Linked DNA regions of Canis lupus familiaris. The protein of the gene in region 1 purifies or fractionates together with the protein of each later gene. This does not show direct contact. Links are inferred from orthologs where the notes say so. Each region holds a gene or a part of one and is shown on either strand. Other genes may lie near its edges. The genes, in order: MAPK9, DUSP8 and DUSP16.

Region 1 (7,565 bases):
TATCTATAGTAAAACCCCAAAGAGGCTGTGGGTATAGAGATGACAAATACAGAAAATGAAGATGACACAAGTGGCTAGAAATAGGAGTGTTCATTATGAAACATTCATGCCAGTTGGCTCCCAGCATTCCCGTCCTCACCCTCGCACTCAGCATTTGCACTTAGAGTGCAAGTAGGTGAATGAAGAATTACTAAGACAGGATCCAGAGGAGGGCAGAAGCCTAGTGAGGGGAGCCCCGGATTTGGGGCTCTTTCCCCTGAGGACATTTGAAAATTCTAGAATGGGCAGCTGAGGTATTGAGTAATACTTGAGATTGCCTTGGGGGGCACTGGCAGACAGACATTGGAGCCCAGGGCCCTGTAAGGGGCCTGGTGAACTTCTTCACTTTGAGTGGAGTCCTCTAAAGGACTGCATCCAGGAAGTGAGAATGAACCAGAAAGAAACCGTTCCCTGCAGGCACTGCCACTCTGCTTCAGATCACCTCAGTTCACTGAACTTGAACTGAAATTGCTAGTGCCCTGCACCAGGTACCCAGAAGAAGTGAATTTAAATTCTCCCTAGAGGAAAACAGTATCATACTGGATAGTAAATTATTTCTAGATAGCAACACATAATCACAGATAACTAGTCACTGAGGAGATTAGACAACATGCTCACCAGCACAAACAGAAAAGAAACAGATCCAGAGGGGAAATTGGTATTATTAGATCCAAACTTTTAAGTAGCTATGATATTATGTTCAGGATGGTAAAAGGGAAGATGAAAAATGAGAACTTAGAAAAAAAGAGAACTAAATAGAAACTCTAGAACTGTAAGATAAGAAATCAAATTATGAAATTAAGGGACCATAATTAAGGCAATAATTATTTCCATAATTAAGGAAATTAAGGCAGACCATATAACTGAAGAGAGATTTATCAATCTGAAAAATGGATCAGGAAAAAATTCCAGGATGAAGCCCAAAGAGACAAAAGTATAGAAAACTACAGAAGAGCAGATGTATTAGTTTTCTAGTGCTGCATAATAAATTACCACAAACTTGGTGTTTAAAGAAAAAAAACAGCCATTTATAATATCATAGTACTATAGGTCAGAAATCTGCATGGGCTTGCCCAAGTTTTTGCTCAATATCTCACCAAATTGACATCAAGATGTTGGCTGGGCTGCACTCTCATCTGGAGGCTCTGAGAAAGAATGTGCTTCCAAGCACAGTCACAGGACCCAGTTCCTTGCAGCTGTAAGTCTGAGGTCTCCATCCCTTGCTCTCTGTCAGCCAAGGGCCACCACACTTTTAGAGCCTCCCACATTCCTTCTTACAATGCCGCCCCCCCCCCCATCTTCTAGGCTGCAGTGGTCCGTCTAACCCTTCTCACGATAAAAAATCTCAGACTTTCTCCTCTTCCCAGCAGCCAGAACAAACTCTGCTTCTAAAGGGCTCTTGTCATTAGATTAGCCCCAGCTCCTGTTTCTTAATTTCATGAGAGTATGCTTAGCCTTGTTGTAGGACATGGGTCAATATACGTAAAAATCAAATGTCTAGAAATTGGTAGAATGAACCACTTTGACAGTGGTTTGACATTATCTACTAAAATATATACAGTCTCATCCTTAGCTATGTACTTATCAGAAATGCATGCATAGGGGACTCAGAGCCCTGTGTGAGAACATTTATGACCATGTTTTTTGTAATCGCTTGCAAACTGAAAACAACCAAAGTGTCTATCAACATTATGTCATATAGCCATGCAAAGGCATATTATAGCAATGACACAGAATAGCTACACACAACAACAGACGAGTCTCACAAATGTAATGTTGAGTGAAAGAAGTCAAATTTCAAAAACTAGGCAAAAATAAGCCATGGGAGGTGGGGAGAGGGAGCTTGAAAATTCATGTTTAGCTGGTTGAAGCAAGGAAGTGATTATCATAAAAGTCAGATGTAGTCAGAAGTATCCCTCCTGTCATCTTTGAGGGACAGGAGGGATAGTGATTAGTAGATGTTGTGGGGGTTATTGGAGTGATGCCAACAAAACATGGCTCTTTGTGATAAATCATTAAGCTGAGGAACAGGACAGGAAGTTGAGGAATGAATATCACCAGTACTCAATGTTGGAAATCTGTGGAGTTCTCAGAGAAAATTGAATGTGAAGTCAGAAGACAAACCATCAGTCAAGGCTGAGAGCAAAATAAGATCATTTATCTTCCATACACTTTTTCTGAGGAAATTCCTTGAGGATGTATGTATTCTACCAAGAAAGAGAATATGAGAACATGTATGACCAGAAACATGGGGGCCAGTGAAAAAAATTCCAGGGATGAAGCTGTGCAGCAGGTCTTGAAAGAAATTGCAAGAAAAAAATATCTTCAAGAATGGAATAGACCCCAAACAATATGTGAGTGAGAAGGTAGAAAGTACTGGGGATAGCCTTCAGAAAGGGGTATTTTTCTTCTCCCCACCCCCCCAACTTTTATTTGAGAGAGAGAGAGAGCAAGAGCAGGGAGGAGAGGGAGAAGCAGGTTCCCTGCTGAGGACCTTGGGATCCTCACCTGAGAGAGAGGAAGGCAGATGCTTAACCAACTGAGCTACCCAGGCTCCCTTTCTTTTAATAAGAACAATCCTTCGTTAGGAACTTGTGGTGGAAAAGCTAGAAAGTCATGGTCCACATGTCAAACAGCTTTAAAAGGACATGATGTTTGAACAACTGATGGAATTGAAAAGAATAAGAAAAGAAAATCCATTTGACTGATGCCAGAAGTCGTCTCATTCTCTTGTGAGTGGCAATGAGGGTCATGTGATCCTTAGAAAATGAAATGTCATCTCAGCTCTGCAATTAGGAACTTTGACATGTGCCTGCATACATAGTCTCTTTGTCTTGGTTTTCAACTTTTGGACACATCCAAAACAAGCCCAGAAGACTTAGTTGTAGAGTAAGGAGATATGTTCTCTGGCTTGACTATTTGAGACAGAGTTTGGAGGAAGGGAAAGAGAGCAGAGCGTGCTGAAGGCCAAAGAGATGGACTGTGATGGCCTCATCTTACATACTGGAGGTCCTGAGGTTCCCTTGAAAGTTGATAGAACAAGAAGTTTAGGCACATTGTTTGGAGTTATAAAGGTAACCAAGGGAAAAGTTTAAAATAACATGAGAGCAAAAAGCTGGGAGGAGTTCGGGGTTTCAAGTAAAGTGACTAAATCTTTAGTTTTGGGGGAGTAGATAGACAATTTCTGAAACTGATAAATGAGAAAATAATGATAAAAGTATATTTGGAGTTGAGGAGTGAGCACAAGAATTCAAACCAGAAGTAATTGAAGGTGGTTTTTCCAAGGATTGGCACTAGTAGTGGAAATAGGTGTCTGTACACGTCTGCCCATTTGGCTCATTTTGAACAAAAACTTTTGAGATCAAAAAAGGTGTAACTGTTGTCACATTTTAAGACTGATAAATATAGGTACAAGTACACATGTATATTAATTGTTGCACAAGTAGATTTATCATTAACATTTTATAATTTGTATGAATGGTGCATTTTCATATGAGCATGAAGATTTACATATGTGTATACATGTACACATAATGTGACCTGAATTAGAAATAATTACAAAGTAACATGATCTCTAGCCTTCGATTTAAAAAAGATTGACCTGAGGATTGTTGGCAGAAAAACACTAATAGAAATGAATAAGTGAAAACAGTGTTACAAACTGAATAAAATAAATACATAGAAATAATATATTTTTTAAGATTTTATTTATTTGAGGGAGTCAGCATGAGGGAAGGTGCAAACGGGGGGAGGGGCAGAGGGAGAGGGAGAAGCAGATTCCCCCAACAGCAGGGAGCCCAACTCAGGGCTCGATCCCAGGACCCTGGGATCACAACCAGAGTGGAAGGCAGATGCTTAACTGACTGAGCCTCCCAGGCGCCCCCCTGGGTAAACTATGAGCGAAGCATCATAGTTTAAATGATGCTTCGGTTCTTAGGTGGTCCTTAGCAGCTTTTGGCCTCTGATGAGTAGCTGAAGGGTAATAATAGCACCAGGAGTGCCATTAGTACTAATTTGTACAGAATGTACAATCAGGCTACTCAATTTTTCCTATTTTCTGGAAGAAAAAGGAACCATGGCTTTCAGCTGGGAACTTGAGATGCCAGAAACACAGCCTCTGCAAGATTTTATTCATACTATAATGGTACAAGGAGTTATTTCTAGCAGGATTTTATATATAGTAATTGCTTACATTAGGGGTTTTGTATCTTAGGGATTTTACCACGAGCTGAGATGCTGGCTTCTGTTTTCTTTTAGATTCTTTTGTCTGGGGAAAAACACAAACAAAGCTTCTCATAATATTCTTCTCATGAGCTCAACCCTCTCCTCCACCGTGATATGCCAGAATATATTTATATTTTATTCTGTGATATCCAGTGACTGTTTCAATTTATTGGCATATTTAAACTGAAGACTTCATTTCTTGACTGGTCTTACATGCTTTGTATTGAATTACTTGTTTCCAAATACAATAATGTCAACCAATATAATGAGAAGTCAGTGTGCCTCCTAACTGCAGCTGGCATGTTCGTGCTTCTGCAAAGGAGTCAGTCCATTCTACCCTCTTAGCCCCCTTGCCTTGCTCTTGGTGTGTAGAGGTACCCTAAGTGGAAACAAGCTGAAAGGTATTTCCTTATTTGTTACTTAGTCAAAAAGAGAATACATTGAACAAAGACCAAAAAGAGAATACATTGAACAAAGACCGTGCACTGCAGTCTTTTCCAGAATCATCCTAATGGGTTCCTTATTATATTTCCTGATTACAGTGCCGCTTTTGATACAGTTCTTGGGATAAATGTTGCAGTCAAGAAACTGAGTCGTCCTTTTCAGAATCAGACTCATGCAAAGAGAGCTTACCGTGAACTCGTCCTCTTAAAATGTGTCAATCATAAAAATGTAAGTTATGTCTATGTTTTCCTCTGATAATATGGTCAACAATATGGTAATCTTGTGGGTCTTTGGAAATACCTTGAGTTCAGAACTCAAGTAAACTAGTAATAACAGTAACTATTTAAATGGTTCTATTTTATTGACAAAAATTTTTTAATTTTATTTATTTGAGAGAGAGAGAGAGCATGAGTGAGGTGAGGGGCAGAGGCAGAAGCCGACTCCCCACTCAGCAGGGAGTCCGATGTAGGGCTCCATCCTGGGATCATGACCTGAGTCAAAGGTAGATACTTAACCGCCTGAGCCACCCAGGTGCCCCTTATTGACATAATTCTTAATCAGCATTGGGGGAATTGAAGTCAGCCAGAAGCATCATGGTTCAGTCTAGGTCTGATAGCAATATCAATTAACCCTGCATCATTTGACTTTCACTATTTCTGTTACTATAAAATGGCAATAATATTGACCTAACAAACTGAGAAACACCTAGATAATTTCTTAGAAAAACATTGTTCTACAAAGTGACTTTTTACTTTGTATGATGGAAGTTTCATTTCTAAATAAATGTGAGTAGATGGTGTGGTATTCAAGATAGCTGTACTTGACATCTCCACAGAAATCAAAGCACTGTAAATTTCGAGGAGAAATTGTATGTCTTCAGAAAATGAGGTACTCAGGCACATTGTATGTCCACTACTGGTCTCAGAGCATGATTCTGATAACCTTGCCATGTTATAAAAATCATAAAATGTAATGTCTGGAAGGGGCTTTGGAGATCACCCCTTGTGACCCCTTTTTTTGTTGTGGGGGATGAGTATTCAAGACTACACTCAATTCTACGTGACTCCCTTTGTTTTAGCGTTTATGCTGGATCTTTATGGTACAGGAACATTATGTACAAAACTAAGATAGGTTTATTCTTTTGAGTCTGTGGTTTGAATTTGTTTTTAATTTCTCCAATGCATACTTTATTTTTATACATTAAAATTTTTTTCAGGTTACATGAAACTATGATTATTATTTTTTAAATTCAAATAAAATAAACAAGGCAAAAATCATTGAATCCCTCAGAACCCTACCATTAACGTTTTGGTGAGCATTCTTACACATGTATCATATGTACATGAGCACAATCAGCTATGTTACTGTGAGTCCTGCCTTTTCCCTTAGGAATGTTTCTGGACCTCAAATACATTACATAGTGTACTATTATTAATACACAATAATTTATTTAGCCAGTCACCTGTTACTGGTTTTTAGATTGCTTCCAGTTTTTGCTATTATAACCAATGCTGCAATAAACATCCTTATACATGCATCTTTGCACACCTGTCCAGGTGAACTTCTTAGCCAGAGCATATACTGCACATTTCTAATTTTAATATATGCTGACAAATTGACCTCAAGGAAGACTGTCAATGAAAAGTTAATGAAAGTTTTGCACTTTCATTAAGATTATCTGAGGGAAAAAAAGAATATCAAAGAATGTGTTTTATTTCAGAATCCCCTCAGGACTATGTACATATTATACATTTTTTTGTTGTTGTACTTTACCAACCTGAGAAATGACAAATGATATTTTATTCTTACTTGTGAGGTTAATTTCTTTCCATACTTTTTAAGCCATTTATTGTTAAAGAACTTGTTTCCCATGGCCTTTGGCAATTTTTCTCTTGGGCTGTTTTTCTCTTTCTTATGCATTTATAGAGGATCTTTGTATATTAAAGCTATCAACCCTCACTTCTTTTCCATTTCAACTCATTTAGGTTGCTTTTGCCATACCAAAATTTTTTTTTTTTTTTTTTTTTTTTTGGTTTGTTGGTCTTGGTTTGGGTTTAACACAACACATGTCCTTGGTTTCCTATCATGCTTAGAAAAGGCGGTTCTTCACCAGGATTACATAAATGTTTATCCACATTTTAATATTTTGTGGTTTCGTGGTTTACATTTAAATCTTTGTTCCATTTTGAGTTGATGTGAAGATCAAAGTATGGATTTGGTTTTATTTTGCACTCGGTCAGCCAGCCACCCCAATCCTATCTACTCAATCATTCATCTTTCCCTTGGTCATTTAAAATGATAGAGGACATGTGTGATTCTCAAGCAGTGGGACTCACTGTTTAACTGTTGTGGTACCAGGACCAATGTCTTGTGGTAAAGGTCTTTCTAGAACTCTCTTAAGTAAATACATAATACTGTGAGGGATTCATCTTCATCATTCTAAAAATACAAGCTTCATATTTCAAAAGTTTAGAAATTTGTAGATAGTATTTCAGTTTTCAGAGTTAACATATTGCTTTCATATTTTTTTGCCCGTAATTTCTACTTTTTTATGTTCAGAGCCCGAATGACATTATGTGTTAAAATTCTGTCATAATAAGATACTAGAGACACATAAAATGTGATGTGATTAAAAGCACATCTTATTTCCAGGATAAGAATCCTAATCATTTAACTTTTCTCATATACCATGTAACAGGATGTTTTGGTAAAACTAATAATAAATACTGAGCTCTGCTATGCTTTGTTTTTCAGTTTTAATACATTTTCATGTTAATTTTTATAATTATGTAGAGTTAGAGTTACCTGATGTGCTGAGGTATAATAAACCTTCTCTTTTCAGATAATTAGTTTGTTAA
Region 2 (8,343 bases), on another chromosome or scaffold:
ATGAAAAAAAAAGCAAATTGAGGGAGAAATGTTGTGCCATGATACTTAATATACATAAATATTTAAAAGCACACGAGAAGATCAGGTGCTGTACCCAAGACCTATACACAGGGTTCAGTGATAAAGACAGAAGCAGGAAGACATCCACCAGTCTGAGCAACAGCTGCCTCTGGACGTGGACACAGGACAGGAGAGACCCAGGGAGCCACCAGCAAGGGGACTGTTGTTTTTTTCTAATCTGAAGCAAACCCAGGAAACTGCCAACACGGTTGGGTCTAGGAGCTAGGCGTTTGTTATACCATCCTCTGTGTTTGTCAGTTTTCTTCAAATATCATGATTAAAACCCAGGGAATAAAATAATGTTTAATGTATTGTGAAAAACATAAAGAAGGATGCTGCTCACTGCGTTGTAGTAGCCAAAATACGGAAATCATCGGCCATATAAATAGAGAAAATCCATTCGAGTCTCACCATACATCCATAAGATGCAACACTGCACAGGCATTTATCACCTGGTTGTGGGAGAGCAGGACCCTGGATGAAATCTCAAAAGCACTTCCTGGAGTGGGAGCAGCCAACAAAAAATAATTAACACCGCTGGCTTCCATCTCTGTGAACTGGGTGCCGGGTGAGGAGGTGAGGGGACAACTGGCTGGAGAGGGTGAGGGACCTTCCTGGGGTGAGGGGAATGCTCTAGGCCTTGGGCGGATAGCGATGACAGGTGCCTGCAGAGCCCACCCGCTGAGACGTGCACTGTTACCAATATTGTTAACAATGAGGACTCAGAGAAAGTCGGGTTGTGGGAAGAGTAATGTCACGGACACACGTTTACTGTGAGTCATTGGCTGAGACGCGGAGTTGCAAACCATCGAGAAGAAGTGGACCTTGCTTTTCTTTTTGCCGAGAGGAGGCTGCGTGAAGGAAAGTCCACCCCGAGCGTCTTCCCCGCGGCGGGTCGGGCGCAGGCGGGCGGCAGAGGGCGCGCACGGACCGTCCGGCTGCGCCCGCACCTGCACCTGCTGGGCCCCGAGCGCGGTCGCCCCGGACGCTGCCCGGCGCCTGCAGATCCTGCTCCACAGCTGGGGGCGCGGGCCCCGGGGCGGCGATCTCCCGCGGGGAGCCAGGGCCCAGAGGGCCGCCGGGCTTGGACCTGGCCCCGCCTGACACGGCGGCCACTGTGGACCCCGCGCAGGCTTCCCCAAGCCGTCCCTGCCGCTCCACGTCTCCTAGACGCCGGCGTCTCAGCGCCCAGGAGGCCGGCCCTCTGGGGGAGCCCAGCGGGAGGAGCCAGAATTCAGCCCCGGGGCCTGGAAAGAACCTAGGGCAGGGCTAGCGGCTTTGGAGAGTCACAGTATCTCCCTACCCACTGCCCCACTGTTGCAAAAGTCCAGGTTTTAAATGCTCCTTTGCACGAGAAATGACAAGATTGTCAAGTAATCGTGGCCCAAACATACTTCCCTCGCCAGCAACAGTCCCGAAAAGCTAGAGGCCACCCCCATCCACTCACCTACTAGAGTTTCCAGAAGGAAGAGAGGACACCATCGCCTGCTCCTCAGTTTACTGCCACCTGCTCAGGCCTAGCTAGGAGCTGCCCAGGGCACAACCGGAGTTCTTTGGAGCCATTGGCACTCGCCTGACCACATCTGGGCCGGGCAGAAGAGGAGCCCCCTTGGACACCTTCTGCCTTCCTCCTCAACTGGGCTCATCCTGGGTCTAGCCTCGGAGCAAGCCCAGCTCATCAATCTCAAGACTGACAACCTCCCATGTCCTGCCAGTCCCAGACCTTCTGGACCTTTCCATGCTCTCCAGGGGCCTCATGTGTCCCCTCCAGCCATCTGGCCCCATCTGAGGCTCAGCCTGAGTCCTCCTGTCCCCTCCCAGGGCCCAGCACTTTTCAGACTTGGAGTGAGCCCAAACACAGCAAGGCCCCACTGCATCCCCCACGCAGCACTGACCTGGCCATGCATCTGGGTTGGACATTCCCCACAGCTCAGGATCAGGCCTCTGGAAGACCTCTCTTCTCAGCAGATTCCAGAGGATTCTGGCTAAGGGCAGAGAAAGAGGAAGGACCTGAAGCCACCCCAGCTCCAGCCCCAAATAGCCCCTGGGTTACCAGTGCGTCCTTCCAGGTCAGGCCCAGGTGATTGTTTGTCCCTGGTGCTGGCTCTTTGCCAGGAACACGCTCTCCCCCTACACACACAGCTACCCCCACATTCCTCAGGCCAGCCAGGAAGGAGGCCTCAGGCCCTTGCTAAACACCTACTCTGTAAAGCTCTGAGGCTGCAAGAGGCCCAGCCTGCTCTCTCAGGAACAGGAATGAGGATCAGCAAAGGGGCCCTCCAGACACCCACCCCCAGCGCCCTCCTGCAGTGATGCCCTCCTGCACGCCCACACAGTGCTCTGGGTCCTGAGGGCTCATCTTGGCCCAAGCCAGTTGCACCTGCTTCATTTTCTGTGACCCTTCATTCAACCAGGGATGCCAAAAGTGGTCCCAGGCTCCCTCCCTTTGTGGGAAGGAGCTGCACTTCCTGAAGGCCAAAGCGCCTTTCAGAGCCCCAGGGTGGCCCTGGGAGACTTGCCAAGGCTAGGGGGCTCCAGGCTGGAGGAAAGATGGCCCTCACTCTCCAGCAGGCAGCCTTGGGTGGGGGTGGGGGGGGGCTGGTTAGAAACAGCTGTGGTGTCTGGTCACACCTTCCCCCTCCCTCAAAAATAATTACCTTTGAAGGCTCCCATCAACTGTCAACTCCCTGGCAAGGATCTTTGTCCTCCATCTCAGAACTAACTCCCCAGTGCCCAGCACAGGGCCTGGCCCCAGAAGGTGCTCAGTAAGGACTGGATGAACCTGGAGATGTGTATCCTCCTGGGTCTCCTGGTCCTAGCTCCCTGACTGCCCCCAGGTCTAGGGAGGGTTCAGGTCTTTCCTGCCTAGGGCGGGGTTGGGGGATGGGGGTGGGGGGAGTGAGGGGGGGGTCCCTCCTGCACCCAGGGTGCCTCCACAGCCTCCAGCCATTGCTTGCATGCCACCTCCTGGGGTGGCCTCCAGACGGCCCACCACCTTGTTTCCGGCCCAACCCTGCTCAAGGGGTAATTACCTAGGTCCCCCCACCCCCAACGCGCCCTCTGGACTCCCTGCACCCTGGCCTCCAGCGCGACTTTCCCCACCGTGGGGGGTGGGGGGGGGGGGCGGGGACAGACCCTCAACAGCCTTCTTTGTGTGGGGAGGGGAGGAGAACACGCAGGGTGCACCCCATGAGCGCTGTTCTCCCTGGAAGCACCAGGGGCCAGAGGTGACCCGGTGGGGCCAGGGGTCAGCGCTGCACTGGGGACCCCCTCGCCGGACTCCAGGAGGTGTGTGACCCCACACGAGCCATCCCGCCTCCGAGCTCCCCATCTGCTGCCCAGCGCAGTGGAAACCCAGGTTCCCAGCCCCGGGGTCGTGGAGGCGCCGGCGTAGGTGCCGCAGGTGAGGTGCTCGCCGGGCCCAGCTCGCCGCGGGGTCCCCGGCCCGCAGGCCCCGCGCAAACAAAGGCTGTGGGCCGGGGGAGGCGGCGCCAGCTCCGGCCGCGGCGGGGGAGGGGGGAGGGACCCTCGCGCCAGGACCCGTTCGGCCGGCCCCTCCTCGGGCGTGAGTGCCGCGACGCCCGGCGTCCCCGGCTGTGGGCTCGGCGCCGGGGCTGGGAAGGCTTCCCGGAGGCGGGGGCCCCGGCGGCGCGGGAGGGACGCTGTGCGGCGCCTTTAAGAGCCGGTGCCCGGGCGAGGGGCGGAGGGCAGAGGGCGGAGGGCGGAGGCCCGCTCGCCCCCCCCCCCCCCCGCCCCGCTCCTGCCCCCCGCGGCCGCCGCCTCTGATCTGCACCCGCGGCCGGGCTCCGGCTGACGTCACCTGCCCTGGAGCTGCGCGCGCTGATTGGCTGCAGGTGACGTCAGGGCCTTTTTCGCTCGGCATGACCTCATCCCCGCCGGCAGCCCCGCCCTCCGCCCCGGGCCTGTCACTCGCGGCCGAGCGCGGCGGCCCAGCCGGCTCCGCGCCCCCCGCCCGGACGCCGGAGCCCGAGCCGCGCCGGAGCCGCACCGGCCGCGCCCGCCGAGCCCGGGGTGGGATGCGCGCCGCGAGCGCGCGTGCCCGCCCGCAGTGCGCGCGCCCCGGCCCGAGCGAGCGCTCCCCGCGGCGGCGGCGGCGACGGCGGCGACGGCGACGAGGCCCGCGCGCTCCCCCGGCCCCTGCCCCGGCTGCGCGGGCCCCCGCCGGGCCCATGGGCGGCGCCGGTCCCCGTGCGCCCCGGACGCGAGCAGCGGCGAGGTGAGCGGGGGCGCCGAGCGGGGGCGCGGGGACACGCGGGGCGCGGGCGGGGAGCCGGTCCGGTGGGCGCAACGGCGGGAGCGCTGGGGCGGCTGCACCCGGCGGGCGCCCGGGAAGAGGCGGCGGCGGCGGCGGCGGCGGCGGGCCGGAGGGAAGAGGCCCGGTTCAGGGGGACGCGGCGGGCCGGCCCGGGAAGCCCTTCCCCCGCCTCCCACGGCGCCCAGCGGACCCCCGGCCCGGTCCGCGCTGCCCCCGCCAACCCCCGCTTCGCCGCCTTTCTCCTCGAAATTCTTTCTTATTTTGTGGGGGGAAGGGCATGCAGTAAGCACCCCGGACCTGGGCCCTCTGCGCAGACCTGTACGGACCTCAGCCTAGAGCCCCAGACTTCCCAGGCTGCCCCCCACCGCACCAGGGAGGCCCCAGATCGGACGGTCGTTCCTGCCCCCGCAGGGTAGGGATGCAGGCCCTGACCAAAGGAGCGGAGGGTTTGGGCCTGTGGGAGGCTTAGGAAAGGGCCCATTCCGAGCTCGGTGGGGAGGAGCTGCAGACCCCTGTCCCCTGTGTGTTCAGGCCGCCACCGGTACCCCCACCTCAGGGTGCTCAGCTGGCCTCTGCAGAATAAAGACCATCCGCCAGCCTGCTGCAGAGGCAGCAGCGGGTGCTGGGGGAGGGGCTGGCACTGCCAGGCTGAGTGCAAGCAGCCTGCCTCAGCCTATCTGCCCACCTTGGTGGGGAGGGGTACCCCAGTGTCTGGCCTTGAAGGGAGGGGGCCACAATGGGCCCAGCTCCCATCAGGTCACCGCGACTGGGAGAATTTGCCTCCTGACTTCCCACTGCAAAAATGGACTGGCTTCTGCAGGGGGGAGTTGGGGGCCTGGGTGCTTCAGTGATTGCGGGGTGCAAGGGGCAGTCCATGCGGCAGAGGAGAGAAGTGGCAGGGTCTACGGTGATGCCCAAAGTGTCATGGTGCAGCCTGGGGTGGAGGTGGGGGTGCTGCAGATCAGGGGAGCAGCATTCTGCTGTGCCCCCTGCCCCTGGGAGTCTGAGCGGAGGTCTGTGGGTCCAGACACTGCCCTCTGCCTCCCTCAGACCTTCTTGCTGGGAGGGCAGCTCAGGAAATGAGTGTAGCATCCAGTACACCCCCCCCCCCCCACCTCCTGCTCAGGGAGGACAGATGTCCCAGGAATTCACTCCTCAGATGCTTAATAAGCACCTGCCCGGTAGGACAGATCATGTGACTAGGAGCTGGGAGTTCATCCTGAATACCTCCTGCTGCAGTCAGCCAAGGGCTCCGGGAGAGCTGCTGGGCAGGTTCTAGTTCCCAACAACCCCCACCCCGTTCCCCCCCTGCTGCCCTCAGCCCTTGGGAGGGCTCCTGTGCCCCCGAGGCTGCCTCCAGGAACGAAGGCTTCCATGCAATGGATGCAGAAGGATGCTTGAAGGCATCCTCTGCTCCAGAAACCTACCCAGCATCCTCTCCTCTCCAGCTGAGGCTGACCTTGGAGCCCAGATGTTTCTGCTGCACGGACAGAGGGCCCAAGGGGCCTTGGAAGCCAGGGGGTATCCTGGCTGCATCTCCAGAGGGTGCAGCTCAGAGGGAAAGCAGATGAAGGAGCCAAACCATGGCAAGAGGGACATGGGTCAGACTCTGACCACCAGAACTGCACAGGCTGAGTCCACTTCTGCCTGGACCGCTCCAGGCAATGACCATAGATATCCCGGAATGGCCCACATGTGTAGCATGGGGGGACAGTGACCAGAGTCCTGCAGGTCAGTAGGGCTAGCACAAGCCAGGCAGGAACAGAGGAAACCTAGATCTGTAGGGTCCTGAGGGACCCACACGCTGAGACCTACTGCAAGCTCTACCCAGACCCCTGTGAACTGAGGGGGCAGGGCCCCACCCCATTGTCTCCCAGGCCCATGGCCTCCACACCAAGTCAGCCCTACTTGGCCTTGCTATCAGTCCCTCTGGGACCAGGTAAAGGCCAACTTGGGTCCTGTTCCCTGCAGCCCAGGGAGATGAGGGGGCAGGAGTGAGAGCATCTAGGGGTCCCTGATGAAAGCAGAGGAGGGGAAAAATGAGCTGAGTGGGTGAGAGCTATCTACCAGCCTATCTCCTGGCTTCATTGTGCAGCAGTTTTTGACTCCAGAGGTACCCCTGGGTCACAGTGAGCTGGACATCGCAGCATAGTGGGGGCCCCCTGCCAGCTCTTCTCGAGGGTCTACCTATGAGTGCCAGGCACCACTCGGGCTGGAGACACCAAGGCCCACCCATGGCTGACAGTCCTGACCGTTGTCTCTGGAGGTAGTGAGTTCCCCGTCAGTAGGTGCTGAGCAGAAGGCCTTGGTGAAGATGCTATCCATTGGGAGTTTTTAGGCCACGCATGTCCCTTGCTCAGGGACAAAGATGTGCCCCATGGAGGCCCTGAGAGCCAACAATGTAGAGAGATCGTGGGGCTGGCCCCTGGGGTTTGAGTGTCCTGGGATTTGAGGGGATTTGGCCCCCAGAGGGTGAGGATGAGTGCACCCAGTGGCCACATGTACCAGCACACATGTCTGCCTTGTGAGTAGTTGCATGAGGGGATGGGGTGGCTTGTGGGAAAGAGGTGAGCAGACAGGGTTCAGACAGGGTGCAGAAGGGCATGTCACAGCACAGGCTGCCCTGTGTATGTGGCCTTGCAGGGCAAGGGGAGCTGCTTGCCGCCTGCTGGGTGGTGCCCAGCCTGGTGGGGAGGGGCCTCCAGTCTTCGGAACTGCCAAGTCTCCCTAGCCACGAACCCTTTGATGGGGGTGTCTGTAGTTGTGCCTCCATCCCACCGGCACCGAGACTCTAGAATAGCAGGTGATGGATACTGTTTCCCCTCAGTTCCCAAGAATGGGTTCTGGATTGAGCCTGGAGAGGGTCCCTGAAGTCAGAGAGGACTGAGACAATATCTGTTTTCTCTGTGCCCACCAGGCCTGTTCTAGCCCCACTCATCTGCTCAAGACTGTCCTAAGCTTCCCTAGCCCTACTGGAGCTCTGGGCCCAGATCCATCCCACTGCAGGCAAGGGCCTATCCCAGGAGCTTTAGGCTCCTGGAGTCCCCGTGGGTGAGGATGCACTCCCAGGATGCCCGCTCAGGGCAAGAGGTCTCGTGCAGGAAGTGCACTCCGGCCAGACCTTGGCCACTTGGAGAAGGCTTCCCCGGAGGTGGGAGTGAGGGGGGCTGTGCGCACAGGTGCCCAAGGCAAGGAAGGTTAGGACCAGGCTGAGCAGGGGTGGGGTTGGTGGGGGTACTGAAGGAATGTCACACCTGGGCTTTGGGGCTTATGTGGACTTGGCCCAGGGTTATCCCAGGTCCCAGCTACTGGGCACCTGCAGGAAGCAAGGGGTGGGCCCTGCCGTCCTGCAGAGCCAGCCGGCTCTGTGGCTGTGCCGCAGGAGCGGTGGTTGCCTGGCACCTCTGTGGTTGCCATGGCAACGACGGAGGTGCTAACTTGCTAATGAGTCCCCCTCGGCTGCAAATAACAATACTATAGCGGTTAATATGGCTGAGCTGCAGAGTTCCTTGGGGGAGGTGGGGCTGAGACCAGGTACCGGGCCCTGGAACCTCGCTGCCCACCCTTCCAGCCCCCTGCCCCTGTCCTGGAGCCCTGCAGCCTGGCTGGGCTCATCCCTACCCTCCTCCCCTCTTGAGCCTGCCTCCCTGCCTGTCCTACAGCCTGGATTCCCATCTGTGGAGGGTGCACCCCTCCCCACCCCAACTCCTCTCCTGTCCAGTTAAGGACCTGAGGGCAGTGTTTGCGCCCAGTGGCTGCAGGGAGGGCAGAGGATCTCTCCTAGCCCCTTCCCTTGTCCCTGCCTCTGGCATTTGTTGCTTCAGGTGGAAACGATCTGTCCCTCACCTGAAGGATGAGGACACTGAGTGCCCCTCTGCCCCGCTGCAGGTAGCTGTCTCAGGGACCGGCCTTGGAGCTGGGCTCCTAGTCACACATCCAAGAGGCTTGTGGGGGATGTGGAGAGGGTTCTGCTAGCTGTGGCCTGTCTGCCACACCACAGACACGGG
Region 3 (7,541 bases), on another chromosome or scaffold:
CCAGGATCAAGTCCCACGTCGGGCTCCCTGCATGAAGCCTGCTTCTCCCTCTGCCTGTGTCTCTGCCTCTCTCTCTCTGTCTGTGTGTATCTCTATGAATAAATAAGTAAATAAAATCTTAAAAAAAAAAAAAAAGGAAAATCTGGAAGAAGAAATAAGCTACCTGAGCAGCTTCTCATCTGAGGAATGAGCCTGGAGGAGCAGGGTCCTGCCTTTGCTTCAGTTCCCTCGTCCTCCACTCAGGCTTTTCTTCCTCTGGGCTTCTGGCACCACATAGAAACCAGGAGAAGGGCAGCCCCGGTGGCGCAGTGGTTTAGCACCACCTGCAGCCCAGGGCGTGATCCTGGGGACCCCGGATCGAGTCCCACGTCGGGCTCTCTGCGTGGAGCCTGCTTCTCCCTCTGCCTGTGTCTCTGCTACTCTCTCTCTCTGCATCTCTATGAATGAATGAATGAATGAATGAATGAATGAATGAATAAATAAATAAATAAATAAATAAATAAATAAATAAATAAATAAATAAGAAACCAGGAGAAAAGGCACTCTTAGGTCACGTTACAAGGTCTTATGAGGACTCTGCGTTTATACTTGTTTCTGGCTTTGTTCACTTGCTTTAGGTGACTTGATTTCCAAGGAGTTTGTCATTTTTCTATTTCCATATTCAAATACGAATCTTCAGTGTAGTTTCACTCCTGCATCTTGTACGGAGTGAAGGTCAGAAGCCACTGAAGAATTTGTTTACTGTCTCTAAGAGTCTGTGTTTGCACAATTAAACATAAGAGCTGTTTAGTACTGGTTTTTACCGCTCAATGATTCTTTTTTAACACAGTGGTTACAAAAATGGACCTAGACATGAGGCTTGGCTTTCAGTGACTTCGGGCACATCACATAAGGACTTTGTGTCCTTGTGTGATGGGGTTAATACAGCAACTTGACATGGGGAGTTTTGGGGACTGAATGAGATAATACTGTGGCTAATGCATTAGCCCAGTGCTTAGCACACACAGGCCACTGAGAGCTGGTTGTTCTTTCCTGTTGAATACTAAGAGAAGGAGCTCAGGTGTGTGCTTGGTGCTCTGGCCATCTGCTATCCACTTTTCTGGTCGTTAATTAATACATGAAATGTGCTGAGGAAGTGACTGGGGGGAGTTAGAAGATGTGATACTGGGGAACTGAAGCTGGAGAGTGACCGTTCCCCTGGACTCCCAGCGGTGGCACCAGCATGGGGGTGCGGGGGCTAGGCCCCAGCAGTGAGGACAGAACCCTCGCTTGTCAGTTGCATTGGAAACTTTGGGTCCTTGAAAATAAGAAGGCTAAAACTAGAGCTTTTAGGGCCTGGGCCCTGTCTTTCTAGCATTCTCCAGGGACATGTTGTATGTCTCCCTAAACTTTCAAACCAGTCCTCTTCCATAGGTATTTGGGAGGCTCTAATAATTCTCTGTCATATTTGTTCACTTAATATATTTTATTTTCATACTGTTCTTAAGATAAATTGTAGTTGCAAAATTCAGGATTTCTGTTTCTTTCCTCTCTTCATAGATTTGTGAAAGAAAAAAGACCTACCATATCTCCAAACTTCAATTTTCTGGGCCAACTCCTAGACTATGAGAAGAAGATTAAGAACCAGACTGGCACATCAGGGCCAAAGAGCAAACTCAAGCTGCTGCACCTGGAGAAGCCAAATGACCCTGTCCCTGCGGTCTCCGAGGGTGGACAGAAGGGCGAGATGTGCCTCGGTCCACCCTGTGCCAACTCTGCTACCTCAGAGGCGGCAGGCCAAAGGCCCATGCATGCTGCCAGCACACCCAGCACACAGCCCCCGCTGTTGGAGGACAGCTCTCTGGTCCAGGCGCTCAGTGGGCTCCACCTGCCCTCAGGCAAGCTGGAAGACAGCAGTAAGCTCAAGCGCTCCTTCTCTCTGGACATCAAATCTGTTTCATACTCGGCCAGTGTGGCGGCGTCCTTGCATGGCTTCTCCTCATCAGAAGACGCTCTTGAATACTACAAACCTTCCACGACTCTGGAGGGGACCAACAAGCTCTGTCAGTTCTCTCCCGTTGAGGAAGTATCAGAGCAGACCCCAGAAACCAGCCCAGATAAGGAGGAGGCCAACGTCCCCAAGAAGCCTCAGCCTGTCAGGCCCTCTGATAGCCAGAGCAAGCGATTACATGCAGTGAGAACCAGCAGTGGCAGTGCCGGCCCACGGTCCCTCATCTCCCCGCTGCACCGGAGTGGGAGCGTAGAGGACAACTGCCATACCAACTTCCTTTTTGGCCTCTCCACCAGCCAGCAGCACCTCGCCAAGTCTGCCGCTGGGCTGGGCCTCAAGGGCTGGCATTCGGATATCTTGGCTCCGCAGACCTCCACCCCTTCCCTGACCAATAGCTGGTATTTTGCCACAGAGTCCTCTCACTTCTACTCTGCCTCGGCCGTCTACGGAGGCAGTGCCAGTTACTCTGCCTACAGCTGTAGCCAGCTGCCCACCTGTAGTGACCAGGTCTACTCTGTGCGCAGGCGGCAGAAGCCAAGTGACAGAGCTGACTCGCGGCGGAGCTGGCATGAAGAGAGCCCCTTTGAAAAGCAGTTTAAACGCCGAAGCTGCCAGATGGAATTTGGAGAGGGCATCATGTCGGAGAACAGGTCTCGGGAAGAACTGGGGAAGGTGGGCAGCCAGTCTAGCTTTTCAGGCAGCATGGAAATTATTGAGGTCTCCTGAGAAGAGACACACTTGTGACTTCTGTTGACAATGTTTTTCTTGTTCACAAAAAAAAAAAAAAAAAAAAAAAATTCCCTGTAAATCTGAAATATATATATATGTACATACATATATATTTTTGGAGAATGGAGCTATGGTGTAAAAGCAAAAGATGGATCAACACAGTTCTCTCAACATCTGTACTTGAGAGATCAGCTAATATTTCTCTCAACAAAAGTGGAAGGGCAGATTGCTAGATATCCTGCTAGACAGATGAAAAATTGTATGTGGTGAATTGCACATCCTCTTGTTCTTACCGAACCTGGTTTTATTTGGTGTTGGAGGACAAAATGCCCCACAGTTTCCATGTTGTGCTACAAGAGGTCTTGAGTGCTAGTCTGTCCAGCCCCTTCCGTGGTGCACCTTAGTGCTGAGACTGAGCCAGCTCGTGGGTTGGGCGGGGAGACCCCATTAGACACACAGCCTCGTGGTAAACGCAAGGGAAATGACCACACCCAAAACGGATTCACACATTCGAGCTCAGCTGGCCGCCGAGTGATGCGGGCCCTATTCTGCTGCGCGGACCGTCAGGGGCCTTGCCCAGGCCTACTTTAGAGCAAACCCAGTACCTCAGACCAAAAGTCGGGGCTTTTACCACTACCAAGTCTGGTAGCCTTTCTTCTAGGCGTCGTGAATAGGTAGGTAGCTAGTCACACTTTTCAGACCAGTTCACACCGTCTCTGCACAAATTCCCAGTTGGGCCTGGATGGAGGTAGTTAAGTTTTTCTTCTTCTCAGCTTGATGAAGAGGGCAAACCATCTAGGATTCAATTCAACAGCCAGTGATGTGTAGCATAGGTCGGGAGGCTAACCAAGTCTACCTCCCTCCGCGTAAATCAAAGAATTGTTCAAAATGGGGTGGTTAATCCTTTAAATAAAGATTTACTTGGTTTAAGCCAGATGTGAATTTTTTCGGGTTGGTAGCAGAACAGCAGCACCATCAAGTTCTCAGCCAAAGTCGATTTTTCCCATTTCAGTTTCTTTGCACAGATACATTTTGTAAAAACCTAACAGTTAGGTAGACTTTTATAGGAAACTACCAAGAGGGAGAAAAACTCTGGAAAGATTAAAGAAGTAAAATTGCTAAGGAGAAAAGGAAACTCCTTTTTCTCCATGGTTTTATTCCCCTGAGCATGTGATGAAGGGGGGTGGGGGGGGGAGTTCTGTAATTTCCTTAGACTTTCCAATTTACTAACAGGGCTGAGAGGCTAGTTACATGAGGAGTGTTCAGAATAAAACAGTGGAGGAAGGTGAGGGGGGAAGGTGGTTAGGTTTTGTTTCGTTGTGAGCAGAGTGGGAAGCCACAACCAAGCTGTTCTCAGAAACACTCCTTGGCATTTTTTTAGTAGAAGGGACACAGCAAAATGGGGCGGGACCAAGGTGGTCTCTCGTTTCTGACCTACAATCACTATATGGAATCAATCCTGGCAGCTGAAAATAGGAATTGATTGGAACAAGTACACAAGTGATTAGTACATATCTGCTTTGAAACTTCCTGGCTTGAGTCTTGTCAGCTACAGTAGGGTCCTCTTTTTAAAGCCTTAATTCACGTCAGCAGCTTTTTTTTGAGGGGGGGGCGGGTATTGTCATTGTTCTTTACTGTAAGTGTAGCTAGTTGCTGACTCATATCTCAGGTTTTTCTGTGTTCAACAAATGGATAGTCCTTCGGCAAGGATGCGACTTCATGTTTCCCGTGATGACTGCTGAAACCAGCACAGGATGAGTGACGTGATTCAGAATGGATTTGCTCATGCTGATTCCAAGCATCGCGTAACATAACTGGTTGTATGTACACCAGTAACGTGCTGCGATCCGGGTGTGAGGTGAAGGCAGGAAGAAAGTACACCGCTTAGGGAGCTCGGTGTTACTCTATTGAAAAAGTGGTGTTAGAATGATCTGAGTTAGTTTTTCTACATAAGTTTAAATTTGGGATGAACTCAGACTTTCGCCAAGTTTTCACAGTAATTTTTTGATGTGTTATGCAGACATCAGATGTGAAGAGCTCACGTCTTCCAGGGGCTGGTCACAACAATGTAATATTTTTAAGAAATGAAAGCAATAGCTCCAGAGTTAAGTATGTCGCAGGAGGGTTGGGGGACATCCAGTATTCGGGATTTCTCCCGGCCATGGTTCCTTCCTTCCTGTGACTGTGAGGTAGTCCTGCATGACCACTTGGTCTCTGATTGCGAACGTCACATCATCAGTTCTTGGGATCGAGACGGCTGTGGCTGGGTGGCAAGTGCTGGCACTGCTGGGGTGGGGCGGCTGGCTCCCTTCAGTTCCGAGTCCTAGGGGAAGCCCTGGAGTGTACCAGAAGGATACAGAACGGTGATTTCTAAAGAGCAAGACTAGATTTCTATGTGAGAAATGCTGGACAACGATTTAGGACATTTGTAAAGTGAGGTGGACAGACTGTATAAATGTTTAATATGAATATAGCATTCTTTTGGAGTAAGATGCTATTGAATGGTTAAATCGTGCATTTCTCATTTTGATGTTCTTGTATGTTAATATGAAATAAAATCAAAACTGGTACCTGTTTATACATAAATATGAGAAAGGACCTCTCCTTGCAACTATAAACTTGGGAGAGCAGCATCCGAGTTGTAGGAGGTGGTGGTGGTGGAACGGGTCCTGCTGTCCTCACGTCACAGAGGACTTAGGCCAGAGTAAGGTGCTGAGGGCAGCAGATACAGTGTGTGCTCCATCAATCACACGAAACACCGGATCCTTAGCCAGCAGGTCAGTGCGGGCCTTCGTGCTTAAGTGCGTCTACCAAATGCACACTACAGTACAGAACCTGGGCACGTACGTGGGACTACTCGCTGACTGACCGAATGGAGAATAAGTGCAGGGTAGGAAGGAGGAAGACCAGAGGCACATTCATGGTGCATCATGATGGAATATGTAAATGGCTTCAGAATTCTTACAGGAAAAGTGGGGTGGGCAGTCCTTGTTCTCGTCCCTGCCACGTACATCTTGATGACCTCTCTGCTTATAAATGACACTGCACGGGACAACTTAGGAGACTAGTAGCTTAGTCTCATCAAAGAATTTTATGCATCAGGAATAAAGTTTTTACCTTCATAAATAAATATGCTTCATAATAAAGCATATTACCTTGGAATGACGAGAGAATCATTGAGGGTGTCATTTAAATCGGTTGGGACAGGTTTCTGAGTAGAAGTTAAATTTTAAAAATTTAAAGGCAAGAAGGATTGTACTGGGTGAGCAAAGACTGGAGGAGCTGCCTTGGCCAGGATTTTGCAAAGAATGGGAGGCGCGCAGGAGATGGAAGTTTAAAGGGGTGTCGAATCTTCCAGCTTCCGGAGATGGATGGGGTGGTGTGTGGGAGCAGGTGTGTCAGGGAGAGTCTTCAGATGAGAGGGTGCAGATCTTGGGAAGCCCCGAAGGTCATGCCAGTTACAATTGAAGTGCACAGGTTTGGGGGTCTCAGCAGTCGGGGCAGGCTAGTGTCAGAGGACTAGTTTGGGTCTGACAAGGAAAATTAGCACAGGGCTCAGGCTAAGGGGAGGTGAGGAAGGCAGGAGCGGCCAGGGGGGCTGTGCTGCGATTAGGGGACTGGAACTTTTTGCCCTCAAAGCCTTCGCTGTCATTTTAAATACTGTCTGGTTATGCTTTCTGACACCACGCAGAGATGTTTTAGATCTAGTAAAATTTGTCTAGGTGCTGTTCTCTGAACTTACTCCCCTGGATCTATAAATGGAAGAGGGAAGTGAGTTATTTCTAGCATTCCGTGGGGCCCATTCATCCTCGTACCGCATAATTATCCTCGGTTAGATCTTTAAGGTAATTGCAAAAGCAACTGGGAAATTACATCACTGTCTTGGCAGATGTTTACAAGTCAATCCTGTTGCTGCGGTGTCTGTGCCCCGGCGTCCAGTCAGGTTTATGTAAAACCCAGTTCCAACCCTTTAGCTCCAGCTGGGTCCCCAGGAACTGCAGACCGTGACCTCGCAGGAGCGTGTGGCGGGCACAGGGCCCGGCTGGCGGAGGGCGGAGGGCGGAGGGCGAGCCCCGCTATGCCCTGGGCGCGCTCTGCTCAAGGGAGTCGCGATGGTTTCAAAGGCTCAAGTTCAAGTGCTTGGTGCACCAACGCTTTGAGCGTGAATCCCGCTCACTGTGTAATAAAAACCAAGGCGAGTGGTAGGACTCTGCCTTGGCTGGTGAAGAAGTCGGAGTCTGAATCCCATCAGGTCTCACATGGACACGGATAACCCAGCACAACGCTCCTCAGAGTAGGGGACGCCCAGGGGCCCGCCACGGGGGGGGGGGGGGGGGGGCTGGTTGGACTAGTAAGCAACTAGGTCTAGTTGCCACAGATTTCGAGATTTGGTTTGAGGCGGGTGAGTGATGAAGTTACCTGGTCCCCCTCCCCTCTGTAGCGGGTCATTTGAAAGGGAGCCACGTGCCCGTGCGTGTGCAAGAAATTCCGTGCTCCTCACTATGAACGTGTGAACAGCGATGACCTCTCCGAGGGGCCACAGTAAGCTCCTAACGGAGGGCTGAGTGGGCAGGGGGGAGAGGAAGCCAATTATTTCTCTTGGCGTTAAAAACGTTTTACACCCCAACATCCCCCAAGAAGAAAAACTGTCACTTCAAAATACCTTTCAGTCTTTAGTATTGATACTTTAAAAGTTGTTTCCTACTGAGTACTGTGTATCTGCGCTTAGCTGGGGTATGAACGAGTAGGGAAGACATTTCGCTCACCCTAGAGTGCTCACACATGCTCACTCACAGCTCACACATGCTCACTCACAGCTCTC

What was found.
Region 2: the proteins of MAPK9 (region 1) and DUSP8 purify together in Homo sapiens (affinity purification with mass spectrometry; 4 studies listed by BioGRID and IntAct, with this or other methods). This does not show direct contact. The link is inferred for Canis lupus familiaris from reciprocal best matches to the Homo sapiens genes MAPK9 and DUSP8.
Region 3: the proteins of MAPK9 (region 1) and DUSP16 purify together in Homo sapiens (affinity purification with mass spectrometry; 6 studies listed by BioGRID and IntAct, with this or other methods). This does not show direct contact. The link is inferred for Canis lupus familiaris from reciprocal best matches to the Homo sapiens genes MAPK9 and DUSP16.

What each region holds. Positions count from the first base shown.
Region 1 is NC_049232.1:1,712,929-1,720,493, forward strand, and holds part of MAPK9 (mitogen-activated protein kinase 9), read left to right. Parts: intron 1-4,805; coding exon 4,806-4,935; intron 4,936-7,549; coding exon 7,550-7,565. UniProt on the Homo sapiens protein: Serine/threonine-protein kinase involved in various processes such as cell proliferation, differentiation, migration, transformation and programmed cell death.
Region 2 is NC_049239.1:46,260,746-46,269,088, reverse strand, and holds the start of DUSP8 (dual specificity protein phosphatase 8), read left to right. Parts: upstream 1-4,211; 5' UTR 4,212-4,297; intron 4,298-4,551; exon of another isoform or gene 4,552-4,748; intron 4,749-8,343. UniProt on the Homo sapiens protein: Has phosphatase activity with synthetic phosphatase substrates and negatively regulates mitogen-activated protein kinase activity, presumably by catalysing their dephosphorylation.
Region 3 is NC_049248.1:12,344,691-12,352,231, reverse strand, and holds the end of DUSP16 (dual specificity protein phosphatase 16), read left to right. Parts: intron 1-1,539; coding exon 1,540-2,716; 3' UTR 2,717-5,305; downstream 5,306-7,541. UniProt on the Homo sapiens protein: Dual specificity protein phosphatase involved in the inactivation of MAP kinases. Dephosphorylates MAPK10 bound to ARRB2.